2 linked regions of the Lonchura striata genome follow. The protein of the gene in region 1 interacts with the protein of each later gene in a biochemical or structural test. Links are inferred from orthologs where the notes say so. Each region holds a gene or a part of one and is shown in the gene's direction. Other genes may lie near its edges.

Region 1 (9,387 bases):
AATTCTCAGGAACACTGAGCACAGCAGCCCTTCCCTGGTGCTGAAGGCTAAGGATTGTGAGCAGCCTGAGATGCTGCCTGGATCCCCACAGCTTGGGAATGTTGTCCCAGGGACTGAACGTGAGCTCTTCAACTCTTTTCTTCAGAAGGGATTAATTCAATTAACACAAATAACAAACCAGCTCACAGCACTCTATAAATAGACTGGTGGGCTTTGACACAGCTCCTGGCTATGCCAAGAAATGGGACTAATAATAGCTGCTTAACTGTGGGGTTCAGGGGGCTGGAGAGAATTGGCAGAGACAATGCCAGGATGGCTTAAACCTGCCATGAAAATCAGCTGGGCAAATGTGGAATCCCAGCATTGTCTGAGTTGGAAGGTACCTTAAATCTCATCCCATCCCACCCTCTGCCATGGCAGGGACATCTTCCACTGTCCCAGGCTGCTCCAAGCCTCACCCAGTCTGTCCCTGGACACTGCCAGGGATCCAGGGGCAGCCACAGCTGCTCTGGGCACCTGTGCCAGGGCCTCTGCACTCTCTGCAGTATCCCAACAGCCATGAAGGAAATTCTGCTGGAGGGGATGGTTCAGGGTGGGGGGCACAGAGCCCTTCACTGCCACACTGCCAGATCCTTCTCCTGGGGACTGTTTGGAGGATAATGGAGTCAAGAGATGTTTTTTCTAGCTAAAAAGCAGCAATTTCCCTCAGGGCTGAGGTCAGGGCCCTGGCAGCACCCCCAGTCCTGCACCTCAACCTCCTGCACTCCCCAGCCCCTTCCCCTCCCACTGCTCCTGCTGCCAGGAGAAATTCCCAGCTGGGCTTTTGTCACCGACGCACGCGTGTTTCTGCGGGAAGTTTCTATTTCTGTGAATAGCAATTTTTCAAGCAATTCCTCCCCCGCCTGCTCGCTTTCACAGGAGCCCTGACGAACGCCACTGGCATTCCTGGAAGCTGCAGCTCACTCCTGCATGCCAGCCCTGGCCAGAGACTTCTCCCTGTCATCCCAGCCTCTGTCCTACAGCTCCACGGCATGGGAATTATGCTCATGGTATCTTGTGAGGGTCAAATCGAGCTGGGACCACTCTGTGTGCTGGGTTCCCAGTGCTCACCGTGTGCCCTGAGACAGGAAAGGGCTAAAAAGAAGTGAGGAAGCCTGAAGGAGCCCCTAAAAAGAAGTGGGGAAGCCTGGAGGAGCCAAGCCTGTGGAAAACCCCAGAACATCAACATCTCTGCTTAGGGGGCACAGAGACCTCCAAGAACATCCTGGCATGTCCACTTTCTCAGGCCACAGCTCTTGCCAGGCCTAGGTGTGCAGAGGAGACAGCAAGTGATTGATTCCTGTCTTTGATTAAACCTTGAGCCAAGCCCCCCAGTGCTGGAGCCAAGCCCCCAGTACTTCACCAGTCTGTCAGCCCTATTTGATGGACCCCCTGCTCAGGGTGAACCTCCCAGTTTGGGACTGGGGTCTTAAGGGCACTTTGAATTCCTTGTTTCCATTAGAAGACACCACCTGCAGTACTCGCCTGGGGTGTCTATCCCACATAAGTTGACATAGGAATATTAATTGCTGTGTCATAGGAATATTAATTGCTGTATCACAGGAATATTAATTACTGAAGCAGGGGGTCCCACAGCCAGGCAGAAGTGGTGGCTGGGGGATGTGCTCTCTGCTGGGGTCACTGAGCAGTGGCCTCGCTGCACTCACAGGGTGAGGCTGTTTCCCCAAAGGAGGTGAAGTCAGAGTGCTGTGACCTGGATTCAAGGACCATGGTGCTTTCTCCATCCCAGCAGCAGCACAGGGAAAGGCACTGGAACCATCTGGATGGCTTCCATGCATCCAGGCCATGCTTATCAGCATCCCTGCCTCGGGGCACAGAGTTGAGAAATGAAAGGGAACAACCCAAATGGTGCTGTTCTGCTGCACTGAGAGCTGTTCAGAGATCCCACTGCTGGCTCAGATGGGAATGGGCCCTTAGAGGATGGAATTATCAAAAGCAGCTCTTGGGAATGAAAAAAAAGCTGGACAAACTGCTGATTGCAGCTGCCTGACTGGAAAATAAAGTGAGTGCTCCCAAGGCATGTAGCTCAGGGGGAATGAGCTCTGTGTCCACTTGAGGACCGAAAGACCAAAGTCCCCTTGCTGTTCCCAAAGAGAGAGGCACTGGACAGGGGATGGGATCAGAGGGGAATATCCTTGGGGTGATGTAGAAGTGCTTGCCACAGTGAGCATCACCATACTGCAAAGGCAAAGTGTCACTTAAACCCCGAACATTTTAGTGAAAAGAAAATCAGGAATATGTAAAGCATCTGTTTTGTAAAGAAATAACCTTCAGGGTTTTCTCTGCTGCAACCTCAAGAAATTCCACAGCTGCTACTGCGTGGGAGGGAGCCCAGGGAGCATTTTTCTCCTCTGTGTGAGGCTGATGCTCAGGGCTGGCTGCAGCCCCTGGCTGGGAAGGGCTGTGCTGAGCAGCACATGCTGCAGCCCCCCTGCCTCAGGTGCCCAGAGCTTCTCTCCACCCACTTCTCAGCCAGCCATAAATGTTACAGAATTCTTACAAATCCTTGTGCTTTCCAGAGGGGCTGAGACCTCAGTAGTCCTGTCCCAGAGGCTCCTGGCACTGCTTGAAACACTCTGCAAGGGGCAGAGGGGATGTGCCAAGAGTGATTTGCTACTCCTGGAGGTATTTTCTAGTCCTAATTAATACAGTAAGAATGAGTGTCTGCCAAGGATGTAAAAATACTCGCGTTTTCAAGATCCAGGGCAAGTAAGGAAAAAGCAATGCAGACTTGTCTGAATGTCTGCAGACACCATGTCCCCCTGCCCAGCTCCTGTTTAACACCCATTGGGACTCTAGGGAAGTTCCTGCCCTGGCTGTGGCCGCTGGGATGAGCCACAGCTCTGTGCCCAGCTCCCACTGCTCCTCCTGTGACAGCCCAGCGCAGGGACACCCAAAATGTCCAGTGTGGGGGCAAGTTTTGGGATGAGCAGCTGGGAGCCTGTGTCCCTTCCCATGCCAGTCCCAGGATGGAGTGGGAAGTGCCAGGTCCTCCTGGTGCCCTGTGTCAGGCCAGAACAAGGAGCACTGGGGAGCACTGGGGAGCACTGGGGAGCTGTATCCCTGCTGGTGCCCCATCCCAGGATGGTGAGGGGAGAACCAGGCTCTTCCAGAGTCCCATCCCAGGATGGACCAGTGGGGCCCTGGTGTCCTGGCCTCTCCCCATGCTCCATCCAGGCCAGAGTCGTGTCTTTCTGGTCTCCCCATCCCAGGCTGGAATGGGAAGAGCTAAGGAGCACTGGGCCCTCCAGGTGTCTGTCCTAGGATACAATGGGGAGCCCTGTGTCCATCCCAGGATGGAGAGGAGAGCTGTGTCCCTCGTGGGCAGGCATGGGGAGCCCTGGGGAGCGCCGTGTCCCTCTGGTGCCCCTCCATCCGGGCTGGAGAAGGCAGTGCTGGGGAGCACTGGGAACATCGTGTCCTCCCGGTGCCTATCCCAGATGGAGCGGGGAGCGCCGGGGAGTTGTGCTCTTCCCTGTGCCCCATTCCATGATGGGGAGCACCGCGGAGCTGTGTCTGTTCCTGGTGCCCCGTCCCGGGTTGGTGCGGGGAGCACTGGGGAGCATCCCGGTGCCCCGTCCCGGGAGGGAATGGGACGGAGCCGCGGTCCCGGTCTCTCCCAGGGCTGTGTCCCGGTCCTGCGGGGCGGTGTGTGGCGGGAGGGGACAGGGCACGGAGCGGTGCGGGGCGCTGAGGGGCGGTGCGGAGAGACTGTGCAGGGTGTGGAGAAGCGGTGCGGGATAGGAGGTGAGGGGCGGTGCGGGCGATGTGGGACGGGGGATAAGCGGTGCGCGGGGCGCTGAGGGGCGGCGTGGAGCGGTGCGGGGCGGTGAGGGACGGGCGGTGAGGATCAGGCGGTGCGGGACGGGCGGTGCAGGGCGGTGCGCAGGGCGGTGAGGGGCGGTGTGGGACGAGCGATGCGCGGGGTGTTGAGGGGCGGTGCGGGACGGTGTGGGACGAGCGGTGTGGGACGAGCGGTGCGGGACGAGCGGTGCCGTGTGAGGGGCGGTGTGAGGGGCGGTGTGGGACGGGCGGTGCGGTGTGAGGGGCGGCGCGGGGCGGTGTGGGACGGGCGGTGCGGTGCGGTGTGAGGGGCGGTGTGGGACGGGCGGTGCGGAGCGGTGTGAGGGGCGGTGTGGGAAGGCGCGGGGTAGTGTGAGGGGCGGCGCGGGGCGGTGTGAGGGGCGGTGTGGGACGGGCGGTGCGGTGTGAGGGGCGGCGCGGGGCGGTGTGAGGGGCGGTGTGGGACGGGCGGTGCGGTGTGAGGGGCGGCGCGGGGCGGTGTGAGGGGCGGTGTGGGACGGGCGGTGCGGAGCGGTGTGAGGGGCGGTGTGGGACGGGCGGTGTGGTGCGGTGTGAGGGGCGGTGTGAGGGGCGATGTGGGACGGGCGGTGCGGTGTGTGGGGCGGTGTGGGACGGGCGGTGCGGAGCGGTGTGAGGGGCGGCGCGGGGCGGTGCGAGGGGCGGTGTGGGACGGGCAGTGCGGTGCTGTGTGAGGGGCGGCGCGGGGCGGGCGGTGCGGTGTGAGGGGCGGCGCGGGGCGGTGTGGGACGCGGAGCGCGCGAAGATGGCGGCGGGCAGGCGCGCCCCGCGCACCGGGCTGCTGGAGCTGCGCGGCCCCAGCGGGCAGTGGCTCCGCGTCCTGCTCACCCTGGCCGAGGACGTGCTGGGGGTCAGCCCCGCAGACGGCCCCGGGCCCGGCCCCGAGGCCCCGGCGGCGCAGCTGAACGGCGGCGAGCCGGGCTCCGCCGCTCCCGAGGCGCTCGCCAACATCAGGCGCACCGTGCGCGTCGTCAAGCAGGACGTGGGGGGGCTCGGCATCAGCATAAAAGGTGAGGCCGGGCCCGGGGGTCCCGGGGCGGCGTGGGGAGAGGGCATCGGCAGCGGGACCTGTTGCTGCTGCGGTCCCGCGGCTCGCTCGGAGCGAGCCCCGCGGGGAGCGGGGCTGGGGTCGGGGTCCTCACCGTCCCCAGCCCCAGCTTAGCACGGGGAGGGGATACGTGGCAGTGACGGCACCGAACCATTCCCAGCCTACGGAAAGAGCGATGATTTGGGGTGCGGAGTGACCGGCCAGTGCCTGCCCGCCGTGCCCGACCGGGGTGAGGGACCCCAGGGTTTGTGAGCCGGTGGGAGACCCGCTGTCCCCTTCACCCACGGGTGGGGTGCTGGGGGCACCGGGTTACGCGAAAGTTTCTCTTTTGCAGCCAAAAGGAGGGCTGGGCCGGCGTGTCCTTGTCCTACCGTGTTCCTGAGTTGGGAAATGCCCCTTTAAAGCTGTCAGCAAAACGAAGGGAGGGATGTAAAGCCCCGGGAGATCTGCCGGCGCTGGGTGGGGTGTTAAACCAGCGCGCTCGAGTTTGGAGATGTGCTCCCGGGAAGCCTTTCTGTTTTATGTCTGTTTTCCCTCCCGAGCTGTTCCGCTCCTTGGTGACTCGCCTGAACTTCAGGCTGGAAACTTCTTAGGGCAGTGCCGTTCCTGCCTTTCTGCCTGCCTTTGATTTTCACGGGGCTCCGAGCGTGTTGGAAACTGTGAAAGCAGGATGAAAAGGGCAGCGCGGAGACAGGGACAGGGCTGTCACGGAGCGTGGCTGTGAGAGGCAGCGGGCCGCCCCGGGGCAGTGACAGGACAGCTCTCCCCTCCTGACGTGGCTTCTCCTCCCAGCTCAGAGGGGGCACAGACGCAGCCTCCGGCTCCCTCTGGTAGTGGGGAGGTTTTGCAATGTGAATGTGCGGCTGCTGGAACTGGATCGACACTGCTGGCCGTGTCTGCAGGGTGCCCCAGCGTGCCAGCCCTTTTTTTGGGAAGCACAAACCCCCTTTCGTAACCACCCCATGGCTGCCAAGTTATTGCTTGCTCTGTGGCTCCTCCAGGAAAGGAGAAACTTCCCTTGGTTCAGTTAAAACTTTACTTTTGCAGTGACGTATGTGGAAAAGATGTAGTTGCCATCAAAAATGGGTAGTGGAAGGAGTTGTGGAGGGCGGGGCAGCCTTGGTAGGGCAGGACAATCTCCTCACCGAGCTGCTGGCATGTCGCTGTTCATGTGCCAGCCGTGCTTCATGCAGGGACACTGGGTGCCACCTGGGGTTGAATGTCCTGCCGCAGGACGTGGCTTGGGGCTGTCAGGACAGCGGGGAGCCGAGCGAGAGCCGGGCTGGCGGAGGCTCTTAGCTCTGGCAGGGCTCTCGGCACTGGCAGCCGGGCGAGGAGCCGCTGGCGCAAGGACGGAGCAGCCCCCGCCGGGGCCTCTGACAGCTGATAACCGGAGCCCTCACTGGCTTGGCAGGCGGCTGAGCGAGGAAATGCCTGTGGCACCGGCTGGGAGCAGCCCGGGGCGGGCAGTGACAGCGGGCTGCGCTCAGCATCTCCCTCTGGGATGAGGATTATCTCTTGGAGACTCCTCGGGACAGGCTGTCCCGGGGCGCGGGGCACATCGGGCACTGCTGATCCCCGGCTGCCACGGGCAATGGCTGCTGCATCCCTGTGCCCTGGCACGGAGGCGGCTCGGATCTCCCTGCGGGTTCAAAAGTCGATGTGCAAATTGATCTCCTGAAGCCGCCGGGAGTTTGAATAACATTCTTTTAGTCAGGACAGTGGGGAGCACCCGGCAAATAGGGCTGCTGTGTGGACAGGAACATGCAGCCAGATTGGTTTACCTCTCCCTGCCTCTTTGGCCTCTCCAAAAACATTCAGCTGTGTTATCTGTTGAGATCATAAAGTCCTTAGAGCCAGGATAGTTGCTCAGCATACATGATTAATAATGCAAATAACGATACACTTTCCTGCCAAAACTGATGGGGAGATGGCCAGGTTATGTGTTCACTCTGTGAATAATCCGTGACCAATCTGAGCGGTTTTGGAGCAATCACTTCATCAGCTGTAAAGCCTCATGGTACTTTGGCTGCTGTGGTTGGTACAGGTGTCCTGTGGGTATCTGGGGGAGTGGGCAGTGGGCTGACCTGGCACGGTGCTTTGAGTGCCAGCAGAAAGGCTCAGCCTTGCTGAGACCATCTGGTACCACAGCATCCCTCTCCCCACACACTCCTCCAAGCGCTCCTACAGCCACAACCGCTCCCTGTCTCTTCTGTTTCAAGGTGGCCGAGAGAATAAAATGCCCATCTTGATCTCCAAGATCTTTAAGGGGCTGGCAGCAGACCAGACCGAGGCGCTGTACGTGGGGGATGCCATCCTCGCCGTCAATGGCACCGACCTGTCCGAGGCCACCCACGATGAGGCCGTGCAGGCCTTGAAGAAGACGGGCAAGGAAGTGATCTTGGAAGGTAGGAGACAAAGATGTGATGAGGGCAGAATGGTTCTCCTTCTTGTACTGGGATGACACAGGGGTGGCATATCATCTGCAGCTGCATTTGCATACTCTTTCAAATGGAAAGCAACATATGCAGAGTAATTTGTCTGCTCATCCGGAGAGCTGGAGGTAACTGCTGGGATCTCCCTGGATCTCCCTGTCTCCTTACGGAGAGGGAGGGATGTCTGTGCCAGTACTCCATGCCCAGAGGCTCTGTCTCCCCACTGTGGGACCTCAGGCAGGCAGCAGTGGGAGGTGTGGGACAAGTTTCTGGAATTTGGGATTCTTTCATTGCACAGCATCACTCCCATGTCTGCAGTTCCTGGGGCAAGAGAAGACATTTTCTGCTTTTCCCCTGGTTTTAATTTAAACCCACATCTCTGGCTGGTGTAGGTTTATGCCAGCAGAGAGAGGGTGCACTGGTCCCCCACTCCTGCTGAGCACCTTGGGGTTTGCTGGGTGGGTTTTGGGCACGTGGAGGGTGCAGCAGGGCCTGCTCAGGAACTACCCATCCAGGGGATGCTACCCACCAAGGGGATCCCTGGAAGCTGAGGCTACAAACATCCCAGGGATGCAGCCTTCACCATGCTGGAGCAGGCTGTTCCCTGGGAATGGGCTCCATCTGGTACCAGGCAGATAATCCCTGGTGTCTCCAAGTCCTGAGGGGGCTGGCACACTGTAGGAGCCCCCTCAAGCCCTCCTTGAGGACTGGGTGGGGGTTGTTGGGTTGGGACCATGGGAGTTCTGAGGGAGAGACCCCATTCTTCTCTGGCTACCCTTCACCTCATATCTGTCTATGTTTGCCCACCCTCTGCCAGCTCAGCCAGGCTGTGATGAGCATCCCAGATCTGTCCCTCGGGAAAGGAGCCTTCCCCTCCCCTCATTCCAACAGTCCCTGGGGTCACCCTGTTTACAGGGGGTTTTGGCACCAGAGACCCTTCCCAGGTCCCAAAGGGGGGTTTGATTTGGGGGCAGTGCTCGGGGCTGTCCGTGAACAAAGCAGTTCTGTGTGCTGTGCTGCCAGCGACCACTCTGGCTCCGGCTTTCCTCTGCTTTCCCCAGATTGTCTCAGCTCCAGATTTTAATTTTTAGCTTTGCTCAGCCCTTCCTACTGTGGGTTCCTCCTCTCCTGGGAGCCTCAGGACCACGGTTCAGCTGGAGGAATGTGCTGCTCTGCACAGCTGCTGGGAGCAGATAGGGTTGGTGGTGGGATGGTTTTGTTGTTCTTTTCTGACCAAAGAAAAATACAAGAGCTTCTTTCTTTGTGAATTTGTGAAATTCCTGCCTGGAGCCGCTGCTCTCAGACCACCCTCCCACCATTATCTTTTATTATATTAGGGATCCAGGTCTCCCTCCTGGGAGGCAGCTGCAGGCAGGGCCTTTGCTGTAGCTTGCTGAGCTCAGTATGACCTGCTGGGTTTCTTAATTAATTAAAACAACAAGGAGGTACCCTTAGGAGGAGACTGGGGCTGGGCTGGCTCCCACTACAGCACTCTGGAGCTCTGGGATGAGTTTGTATCTGATGTTGTTGGGGTCCAGCCAGAGCAGGGAAGGGATCGCTGCTGCTCATCTGGTCACTGATGTCACTGATAAACATGGTACATCTCCATCCCCTCCCTGATTTTGGGTTTGCTGGCACAGTGTAGCTCTGCCATGGGGGTGGCAGGGCTGTCACTGTCCTGTGGAGGTGGTGACCCTGCCTTGTACCTGCCACCCCTGTGGCTCTCCAGGAGCTGGCTGGGCTGAGAGGCAGGGGGTGGCCTTAAAGTGCCTGAAGGGTGTTAAACTGGGGTGGTCCCTGCTGCCTTTTTCTGCTTGGAGAAGGAAGAGCTTAAAAAAGAGCACCTTAACATTACTTAGATACTTTCTGCTCCCCACATGCTGCCAGCTGTGACTCCAGCTTTCCTTATGGTGCTCTGAGTGCTAAACCAGAGTATTTGGCACAGCCAGCATCTGTTCACTCCTTGCTGCTCCTGGCTGCAGTCATTCTTGGGATTTGGAGCTTTTAGGGTGGTTTGCAGGT
Region 2 (9,868 bases), on another chromosome or scaffold:
AGAGCACATTGCTGGGCTGCACTCCTCAGACTTCCCATCGTCCTTCCCTCAGGCTGGCACAGTGCCCCGCACGTACCAGAGTTCCTGCTTCTGTCTTTCAGAGGAAAAATGTTTCCCACCTTCCTTAAGACATTACATTTTACCGTCTGAATATAGTCACTTCTTCACCAATATGATGTAAAGATTAGTTTTGTGAAGACTCAGCAAAACCAGCCCAGTCCTTACACATGTACTGCTCAGCCCTTGGGAAAAGGAGGGAAGCAAGGGGGGCTCAGATGACTGGGAACCCTAATTCCTTCTATCCTACACCTTCTGTTCCCCTCCAGACCTCCTCATGAACTGACCCTAGTACAACCACTCTCCTGAACTGGGTTTATCTCTTATTTATAATACTTTGCAAGGAAATTCCCTTTGTGATTTCGCATCTTGGTACAATTTTTTTTCTCTGCTTATGCTGATGGGCTTTAATTGAACTTCATTAGTCAGGTTGGTTTCTTACATTGCCCTTCAAATTTAGTTCCTTGCTCAGGAGAAAGTTTAGTTTAGTTTCTTTCTGTGGAAAAAAACACAGTGTGATACAGTGACTGATACAGAAAAAACCCAAACCACATCTTGCAGCCCTGCAACCTCCTGAATAAGTCACTCCTGAGCTCCCATCACAGCTCTGCTGCTGTCTCCTCCATCCCAGATGCTGCAGCATCCCAGTTTATGACTGGGACATGGGCTTTGGGGCAGTTTCAGTTGTAGTTCACCTGTACATTCCAGAAGAAAGGAGGCAAAACCAGAGAGAGAGATCATAAGAAGGACATTTGCTTGTGGTAAAAATAAAATAATAAAAAAAAAAGAGTGTACTTAGAACATTCTCTGTGAGTCACATGCACATATTTAATTATTGCTATTCTGAGATACAAACCAGTGTTAGAATAAAATCAGATAAATAAATAGTGCAAGGGAAGGCAAATGTACAGGTATATTGCTCCTTTCTGCTAGAAAGCCTGGTTTCACGAGGCAAAATCAATGAGAAAAAAAGCAGACCTGTGGCGTAGATGCAGGCCAGGAGTCTTTTTCTAGTCAGAAGAAAAGAAAAGGACAAGGCATGAAGTGTTACAGGAAATGGGACTAGGAAACCTTAGAGGACTTCCAGGGGGTTGTCGTATCTTTCACATACAGCAGGATAAAATTTTCAAGGGGATGCTGGTTTCCTCTCCAGCATGTGCATTTCTGCAGAACTATTCATTCCGCTGATTTTTCTTTTTTTTTTTTTTTTTTTTTTTTTTTTTTTTTTTTTTTTACAACAGATACTTCCCCTTTTGAAAGCAACGGTGAGAGTATTAAAACTTTTAACTTTAGCTCACATCAAATTAACCAGCCAGCTTAATGACCAAAGTTTTCAGACAGTAGCTTCAGCCTACACTGCACCGTGGTTGAGGGCAGAATTTAAAGGTGCCTTGGGTTTACTGCTGTGGTCTCTCCAGTGCTATGTCTGTGCTTTTTCAGCTGGGTGATTTTGTAGCTTCCTCCTGTACCTCTCTGTTCATCTTTTCTGACTATTCAAAAGTTATCCTTTTCCCTCTGATATTTTGCTGCTGTCTTTTCCTTCCTTTTCTCTTCTATTCTTCTGCTTTGCCCTTCTAATCTGCTTTAGTATTTTCTTTCTTCACGTCATTATGCCCTTTTGTTTTTGGCTTCTGTCTCTCCATTGGTTCTTTTCTCACTCGCTTAACCTCCTGTTGTTTACAGGCCGACCTACATCCCACCCATCATCTTGTTTCTCTCTTTCATCTTTCCTCCTTTTCTTCCCCCCCTCCTCCTAACCTCCTCTCAACAATAAAAGTTACTCATGGCTTGAGGGGGAAGCATCTGGCCCATGCTGGCTCTCATTCTCTCTTCTTTGTTCTGAATGTTCTTTTGTTGTAAACACAACAAACAGTAAAGCACAAAATCAGCTCTCAAGGCAAACACTGCATAATAATCCTCCTTGTCCCCGCTCCTCTTATCTCTGAAGAATTTGTTCTCCAGGCAAAATAAGAAGAAACACGAGATAGGAGTCGCCAAATTTGGAGGCAAAAGAGACTGGAAAGAGCCTCATCATATAGGGCAGCACCACTGAACTGCAACTTGGGCAGATTCAATAAAGTAGGTGAAATATAGCTTGCCAGAAGTTTGGACAGCAGTGTGATGATCCTGTGGTTGATCAATCCCAGTGAATCAGTCTGTGCTCCCATTAGGTTGTAGAGGCATAGACAGGACCAAAAATGCTAGGGATTTTTTTTTTTAAGGACTTAATTTTTGGCACCTTCTCCTCATCTGTGCCTTGAGCCAAGGCCTTGTGTATATGGAATGTGTGAATGTGTTTGCCAAAGAACTGTACCTGCTAGACCTCCACTGAGGTTCTCAAAAAGCCACAGCAGGGTGCTTCTATGGGGGTCACATGCCAGCTCCAGTCCCTGAGATAAATTAAAATAAGAACAGGCTTGCTCATCGTTGGAGCTCTTGCTTAATGTTAGATAGAAATTCTCTGATTAAACCAGCTTTCCTCAGAAAATGTAAGCTCCCTGGAAGTGAAATGCTAGTTGGCATGCACTAGTTAAGACATGCAAGCGTTCTCAAAGCTAAAAAGAAAAAAGCCTGTTAAGCAAAAGACAAGCCTTTCCCAATCCCCACAGCTCTGTGGTTAGGATACCAGTGTTTAATGTGGGGCAGTCCGCATCAGTTCAGCTTGGGATCCGTTCTGCCTGGCCCTTCCCCTAGCAACCTTAAGTCTGGCTGCCCACATGCCATGGGCCTTCATCCTAGCACAATTACTGCATTTTGCATAATACACGATTATTATATTCACAAATAGACTGGATGGATAGCTTTGGTGCACTATCAGATAGCTCTGCTAAGGAGGTATTAAGGTACTTCCTCCAGCAGCTGATCTTCAGAATTAGCCGTGATGTGGGAGGTAGGTGTGTGTCCTGGGACAGAAACAAAACTGGTATTTAGGAGGCACAGGGTGTGATGCAAACTTCAAATCTAAATATTTGAGCATCAGCACACAGGGGCAGAACTCACTGAAATGGGTATTTTCCTGCACATTCCTTATGGAAAGTGGGGTTTCAGTGATGCATTTTGAGCTTGAGAAAGAAACAGTCTTTCTTATTACTTCTCCAGCTCTGGTTAAATAAAGACGTGCTACCCATGATGTTCTGCATTATGTGTTTATGTGAGATTTAATTTTCAGCTATACGTTTATTGCTTCTAAACTGGACCGGTAGCTATGTATGTATTTAATCTAATCTTGTAGTTTGGATTGCTCAGCATTTGCAACAGACTTATGTGTGTTAAGAATAAACAACGAATAAGGACATTTCAGAGGAATGCGGTCCAAAGATTGTCTCTGAAATGTGAATATGCTTAAAGCTTTCACAAATATGGCACCTTCTCACGCTAACAAGTAAATGAATATTTCCAGAGCTAATGCCAGAGTTTGGGACAGCTGTGTAATCAGATTCAACGTGGAGCTTGCTATGCTTGCAAACAAATGGAAAATAAGCTAGGAAAAAGAAAAATTCGAGCCAGAATTACTCGAACAAAGTGTTAGGGAATTAGGCTGGACAGAGGTGAGGCTGACACCGCTCCTTGCTCCCAGTAGCAAGAATGACCCTGTATTCCCTGGAGGCACGTGCATAAACCCACACGGTGCAGTTACACAAACAGCACCAGTGACCTCTCAGGAGGAGGAGGGAGCTCCGGCAGTGGGAATAAACATATAAATATGATAAGGTGGATCCTTCCAAGGAGCTGGGCCACAGACATCAGTCTCGCTGATGCTGGCACAAGGCTGCAGCTCCGCTCCCGTTGCTGGCACACACACACACAGAGGTGTGTGCACGGATGGCCAAGACACTCCTGGTCCCCCCAGGAGCCAACCTGGCATGGCCTCACCCTTAGAGACAAGCAGACACCAGTGGTACTCACCCCTATAGAGAGCACCTCACAGCTAAAAATAGGATTTAACAACGAGATAGGGCAAATTGTGCTAACCAAGTGCAGGACAAGGCTGGACACTTTTGCTGGTCAGCCAAGAATTTTCATGCAAGTAAGTGTCCCTTCTTCCCCATATCTCTTCCTTTCCCCTCTTTGTTTCCTCCCCTAAGCATCCCATTGTAAGTCTCCTACAAGCCCCAAATGCTCTTCCCGTGCATCCTGTAAGGTGTCTGTTCCCCTGAACACAGCACCTCCTCTTTCACAGTTTGAAAGGTGCTCCAGCTTTGGCTTTGTGATGAATTTCACACCTGGGTTGATGACTCTCCAGAGCTGCTGGCCCAGGCGGGGTGTCCTTAATCCGGGTTGTCACCTGGCAATTGTGTTCCTGTTTACCTCCGGGTGTATGAAAATGGAACCTTTGATGTGCTAATGGCTCTTGTGAGGGGCCGGGGAGTAGCTGGGGCGGAGTGTTAGTTGGGGCCCTCCTTCTGCCATTGTCCCTCCGTGCTCCCCTGTGGGTGTGAAGAGGCGTTTTTGTCACACAGCCGAAGAAGGGGGACTGTGCAGGCATCCCGTGCCCTTATACTCTTTTTCTGCTGGCAATAATATTTTAACAACAATACACGGAATACCCATTAGATATTTATCAAATAAATATGACATATAAACACCTCGTGACGGCATTTATCACTCACTCTCATGAATGCCGTAAAATAAACGGGTATTTCTGAAAGTGAGTGAAGGAAAGCTTTGCCCTGTTAATTTCCAGTTAGTGTGGCCAGGTGACGACACCAAATAAACAGCAGAATCGAATTTAAAATGTGATTGTTCCAGTTCCCCAGAATTTGATGGCAAAAGTGGTGTCTGGTCTCAAGGTATTTTGCCTAACAATAAAAAACAGGGTAAGTCAGCTTTTTTTCCCTCACTGTCCTTGCCCCCAGCTGCGTGTTTTCTGAAGTCAAAGTCCTTGACAGATTCTTAATTCAGTGAAGACTTTTGTTGTTTGGCAGCACTTTTGTTTGATTCAAAGCACAGCTCTTCATCATTCTCTTGGAAGAGTTTGGCAAGCGTTTGACCTGAAGGATGGATAGTAAATGTGGAGCACGGTAGCGTTTGATTGAATTATAGACTCATAAACGATTTAAGTTGGAGAGGACCTTAAAAATAATTTTCTTCTTTCTCCCTACCATGGGCAATGACACTTTCTACTTTTTTTCTCAAAGCCACATCCAACCTGGCCTTATGGGCTTCCGGGGATGGGGCATCCCCAATTTTTCTGGACAATCTCTGTCAGTGTCGGACTACCTTCACAGTAAAGAGTTTCTTCCTATTACCTAATCTAAACCTGCCCTCTGTTATTTTGAAGCCATTCCCCCGTGTCCTGTCACTACATGCCCTTGTAAGGAAGGGTTTTAAGTCTGGGACTAGATCCAAATTCAGCTTTGCCCCCGCAGATTCTAGCATCGTATGAAAAATATATTTTTGGCAACCACACAAACAAAAAAATCCCCGAAACGCAACTGCCCAGAACTCTACTTCATCCACAGCTTTGCGAGGCGGTGGGAGCACCCGCAGCGCACGGCATTCGCCTTCAGGCTACTGCCCGTGCTGTTTGCGTGCCTGCCTCTGCACCGTCACTGCCCGCCGTGCTGCTGTAGCTTACACACCCAATAATAAAGACATTTATTTTTATATACATCAAATAATAAATAAAGACGTGGTTTTACGTCACGCTGTCGCTGCAAACAGCCCAAAACACGGATTGCGCCACTAGCCAGCGCTTCGCGCGTGGCATCCGCGGCGCGGCGGGTCCTTGCGCGGTGCCCGCGGCGGGGGGAAGCGGGGCCACCGCCCCTCGGCCACCCCGCTGTCCCCGCCCGGGCCGCTCCATCACCGCCCGGCAGCCCCGCACGCAGAGCGCCGTCACGGGGGGCGTGAGCGGCGGGGGAGCGCGGCGAGCGCCGTGCTTCGGGCAGGGCGACGCCCCGCCGCCTCCCCTCCCCCGGCGGAGCGTATAAAGCGGAGGCGGGCACGGGGCGGGCTCGCGGCACTCCCGGGCGTGGGCGGCGCCTCTCGCGGGTTCCGTTAGGTGCGGCGGGTGGGCGTTCGCCGGCAGTCGGGCACCGGCAGCCTCCGGCCATGGACACCAAGAAGGTAGGGCGGCGAACGCGGGCTCCTTCTCGCCCTTTCCCCCCGCTGCGGCCGCCGCTCGGGGCTCGGCTCCGCGGGCGCTTCGGCGGAGGGCTGGGGGGAGGGATGCGGTCGCGGCCGGCGGTCGCCTGCGGCTCGCCGTGGGGATGGATGCGGTGGTGGTCCCGGCAGGACCGCTGGTCGGCCTTTGGCAGTTCTGTCTGGGGTGGGGGGAGGGGGACCGTGCCGTTTGGGAAAGATTGTCGCAGGTCGCGCGATCGATTTTGGTTTCGTGCGCGTGGCCTGATGATGCACATGATGCTGTCCGCGTTGTAGGATATTGATCACGAGGTTTGTTTCGCTGGCGGCGCCGCACTCGGTTGGTCCCAGGTTGGGATGCTGAGCGGGGGACTGATGTTAAAGACTTTTTTTTTCGTGGGTGGCAATATAACTTATAAAGGCATTTTTAAATCTCAAGAAAGTGGCAGAGCATGTCCTTCCCCTCCTCAGATGGAGAGCAGGGGATATTTGTCGGTGTCTGCTCGTGTGCAGCAGTGGAGTGAGCTCATGATGGCGTGTATTTGAACGTACTAAGGGTGACCAGCCTTGGACCTGGGGCGGGATGCCGGGGAATTACACGGGAACAGCCAGAACTGGAGAAGGCCGGGCCTCTCATCGCCATGTTGGTGGGATGTGGGGGCAGTGTCAGAGGATGAGGCAGAGGAAAGGAGAGCGTCTGGTCAAGGTCGTTCAGAGAAGCGGGCGAGGCCACTCCTGCCGGGCTCAACAAGTTGTACCGCTCTGGGGATGGAGGCAGTGAAGGAGGGGAGCTGGTGAGGAGCATCTCCTGAAAATGAATGCTGCCGACGCCTGTGGTCGGAGGGAGGGATAGCGGTTTGAATGCCGTGCTGCTGTACAGACCTCAGCCTTGAGCCTTTGGATAGAGTGGGTGTAGCTGTACTATTTTTGAGCTCCCTGTTTGCCTTTTGGGAAGCGAGGCACTTGCAGCACTAACAAATGATCCATACATTAGATCACAGTTTGGCTCACTGGAGGAGATGGGTCATGGCATGTGATGGGAGGCTGGGCAGGAGGCAAATAGCAGGCAACAGCCAGGAGAAGGAAGTATGAAACTGGGTAGAGCAACTCGCCCAGTAGCTCATTTATGTACCATGTAAGTGAGGGGTGCCCACAAAGCAGGGACCTTATGGTCCCTGCAGCACCCAGAAGTAAAAGGCCAGCTGTGGTCACTGCAAGCCATGACAAAGCACAGTCCTGGGGGAAAAGTGCTCCTGTGTGAGCCATGTGGAGAGCTGGGGTTTGTCTGCAGCCTTGCCATACCTGCTGGCTAGAGATGACCTGGCCTGGAGTCCCAAAACTGCTTAGATGTTATAATGCATTTCTATATGCATCCAGATGCTTTGAAAGAGCTGTGTCCTTGTGGTTCTGTGCCAAATTTCCTTGAGATAAAAATGAGTGGAGTGGTCACAGGGTGCCAGGGAGAATGCTGCACTGCCTAGGGTGTGTTCAGGTGTGAATGCTACCTCCGTGCTCATCTGCCCCCTGTCCACTTTGTCTCCACCACTGACCTGGGCAGGAGGACATTTACTTGATGTAGGTCGGTGTAGGAAACCATCCCTGAGAGTCCTTCCCCCAAATTCTGTTTATTGAGGCAGAACTGCTCATGTCTGAGGGTTGTTCAGGTCAGAAGCACATTCGTGCCAGGCTTGAAAGCGTGTTAGAGGTGGCACGAGCACCAACAGAAGGTTATGGTCAAAAGCTTTGGGCACTTTTGGGAGCCACTACTCCTGGAGCTAGAAAGTGAGAGACTGGAAGAGCTGTGATAGTAGGCCTCACCTAGTAGTTTTCTCTGCCAGGCCTAAAGTACAATAATTGGAAAGTCTTGGAAAAGGAACTGTTAATATTTTTGGAAAAGCTTCCAAACCTCCTGAGATGGGAAGGAACACAATCTTTCCAAATTGTGCCAACTCAGGCAGTGGCTGCCTAAGTGCCAACTCCTGAGTCACCTGCTCCCCCACACCTCCCTCACTCGGAGCTGGCTTAAATGCCACAAGCTTTAAAAATGAATAAAATGTCAGATTATTTTTGCTGACACTTAAATTTCTCAGACTGTGGGACTTCTGAGGTTGGGCCTTTAAGCTTTCCCTATGGCTCTGAGGGCTCAGCCGTTTTTATTTTAATGTAATGGAGGTTCAGGTCTACTGAAACTTCGGGGAGTGTGCTTCATTTGAGATAGCAACTATTGCCACAGCTCAAAGAAAAATTAAAGAAAAATAGACGGGGAGCTTGCTAGCAACTGCTGCCACCTCTTGAGGCACGCTGCCGTGCCAGTGCCCTGGGGCAGGGTTGGGAAGCCCTAGCCTGGGAAAAACAAGCCTGTTGCGGAAGGGAGTGCGTGTTGTAACTGTTGTGAGTGACTGCCAGTGTAGCTCATGGGCAGCTCTGAGTCTCAATTTATGTGAACTTGTCAGCTGGCTCAGGGAAGAGTTAGACTCTTCTTTCATGACATGCCAGAGATCAGCAAAAGCTTCTGTAAAGCAGATCAACCCAAAATAACAGCCACTAATGCAGGCAGTGTATTCATTACTAATGAGCTGAGAATAGTTGCTGAAGGTCAGGAGATAATAAAGGGGAGGCCCTGACAAGCCCTCCTACTTGTAGCCACAGAACTTTTCCTGCTGTACAGTTGCATGTCTCTTTCCGGGAGGGGGATCCAAGGGATGCAACTGGTACTTGCTGGATAAAAGCCCATTCCCTGCCCTCAGAGCACTTGCGTTTGGCACCTATGAGCTCAGCTGCTGTTTATGCTGAAGAGAAGCTAAAGTTGTGTAGAAAGCCGAATTAACTAAATAATTGTTCCCCCTCTTCCCACAGAAAATCACAGCGCCTCTTGTCTATGCTGTTTGCATTGCTGCCATTGGATCTCTCCAGTTTGGGTACAACACTGGTGTCATTAATGCACCTGAGAAGGTGAGAGGAATGAGCTGGGGAGGTGGGACGGACGAGGGGCTGATGGGAAGAAAATTATGTATAAAGGAGAGGGACTGTCTCCCAAGCACCCAGTAATTTGGTTTTGGTTTATGAAATCAGTAAGGCATTTAAAACTGCCGTCCAAATACAGCATTGAACAGGAAGGACAAAGTTCTGGGAAGGGGAGAGAGCAAATGGGTTAATTCTCATAATTAGGAGCACAGGAAGGGCAGGAGGGCTTCATCTACTATATGTGGTGTGTGGAGGAATGTGAGCTGCCTTGGTTTTGAGTCAGAATAAACCAACCATGGCAGAAAGAATGTAGAGAGCAGTGTACAGAAAACAGTGAAGGGTTGGTAGGAATTACAGCTGCCCTAATTTAGTTTATTTTACTTGTTTATTCGTTCCTTGTGTTAAGCGTAGATTCAGTGCTTGTAAAAAGGGTTGTGACTTGGACATTTGACGAAATCATCCTATGACTGTAGCCTAAGAAACAAGAGGTGAAGAAAATGAGAGATGCAGTTTTCATGTAACTTTAAGATGGTTCCTCTGTCAAGAACTGAGTCACGAATACCACATCCACCCTGTCTCCGGGAAGAGATGTTCACGACGGGATGGGGGATGGGGTCAGTCCTCCCTAGTTAATGTCCTGCTGCCATCTGCTGGGGGCAGGCACTCTGTCCCCCCACCCACCAGCCCAGGCCACAATTTACCTCACTCGCTAAGAGGATGCCTGGGAAATCAGCAACGTGGCCCTGTCACATCCCCCGGGATG

The links.
Region 2: the proteins of SNTA1 (region 1) and solute carrier family 2, facilitated glucose transporter member 3 interact in a test that uses a peptide from one of them, tested with the Homo sapiens proteins (2 studies listed by BioGRID and IntAct). The link is inferred for Lonchura striata from reciprocal best matches to the Homo sapiens genes SNTA1 and SLC2A3.

What each region holds. Positions count from the first base shown.
Region 1 is NC_134619.1:12,416,111-12,425,497, reverse strand, and holds the start of SNTA1 (alpha-1-syntrophin), read left to right. Parts: upstream 1-4,590; 5' UTR 4,591-4,627; coding exon 4,628-4,892; intron 4,893-7,152; coding exon 7,153-7,338; intron 7,339-9,387. UniProt on the Homo sapiens protein: Adapter protein that binds to and probably organizes the subcellular localization of a variety of membrane proteins. May link various receptors to the actin cytoskeleton and the extracellular matrix via the dystrophin glycoprotein complex.
Region 2 is NC_134604.1:31,302,156-31,312,023, forward strand, and holds the start of solute carrier family 2, facilitated glucose transporter member 3, read left to right. Parts: upstream 1-5,965; 5' UTR 5,966-6,111; coding exon 6,112-6,126; intron 6,127-8,997; coding exon 8,998-9,093; intron 9,094-9,868. UniProt on the Homo sapiens protein: Facilitative glucose transporter. Can also mediate the uptake of various other monosaccharides across the cell membrane. Mediates the uptake of glucose, 2-deoxyglucose, galactose, mannose, xylose and fucose, and probably also dehydroascorbate.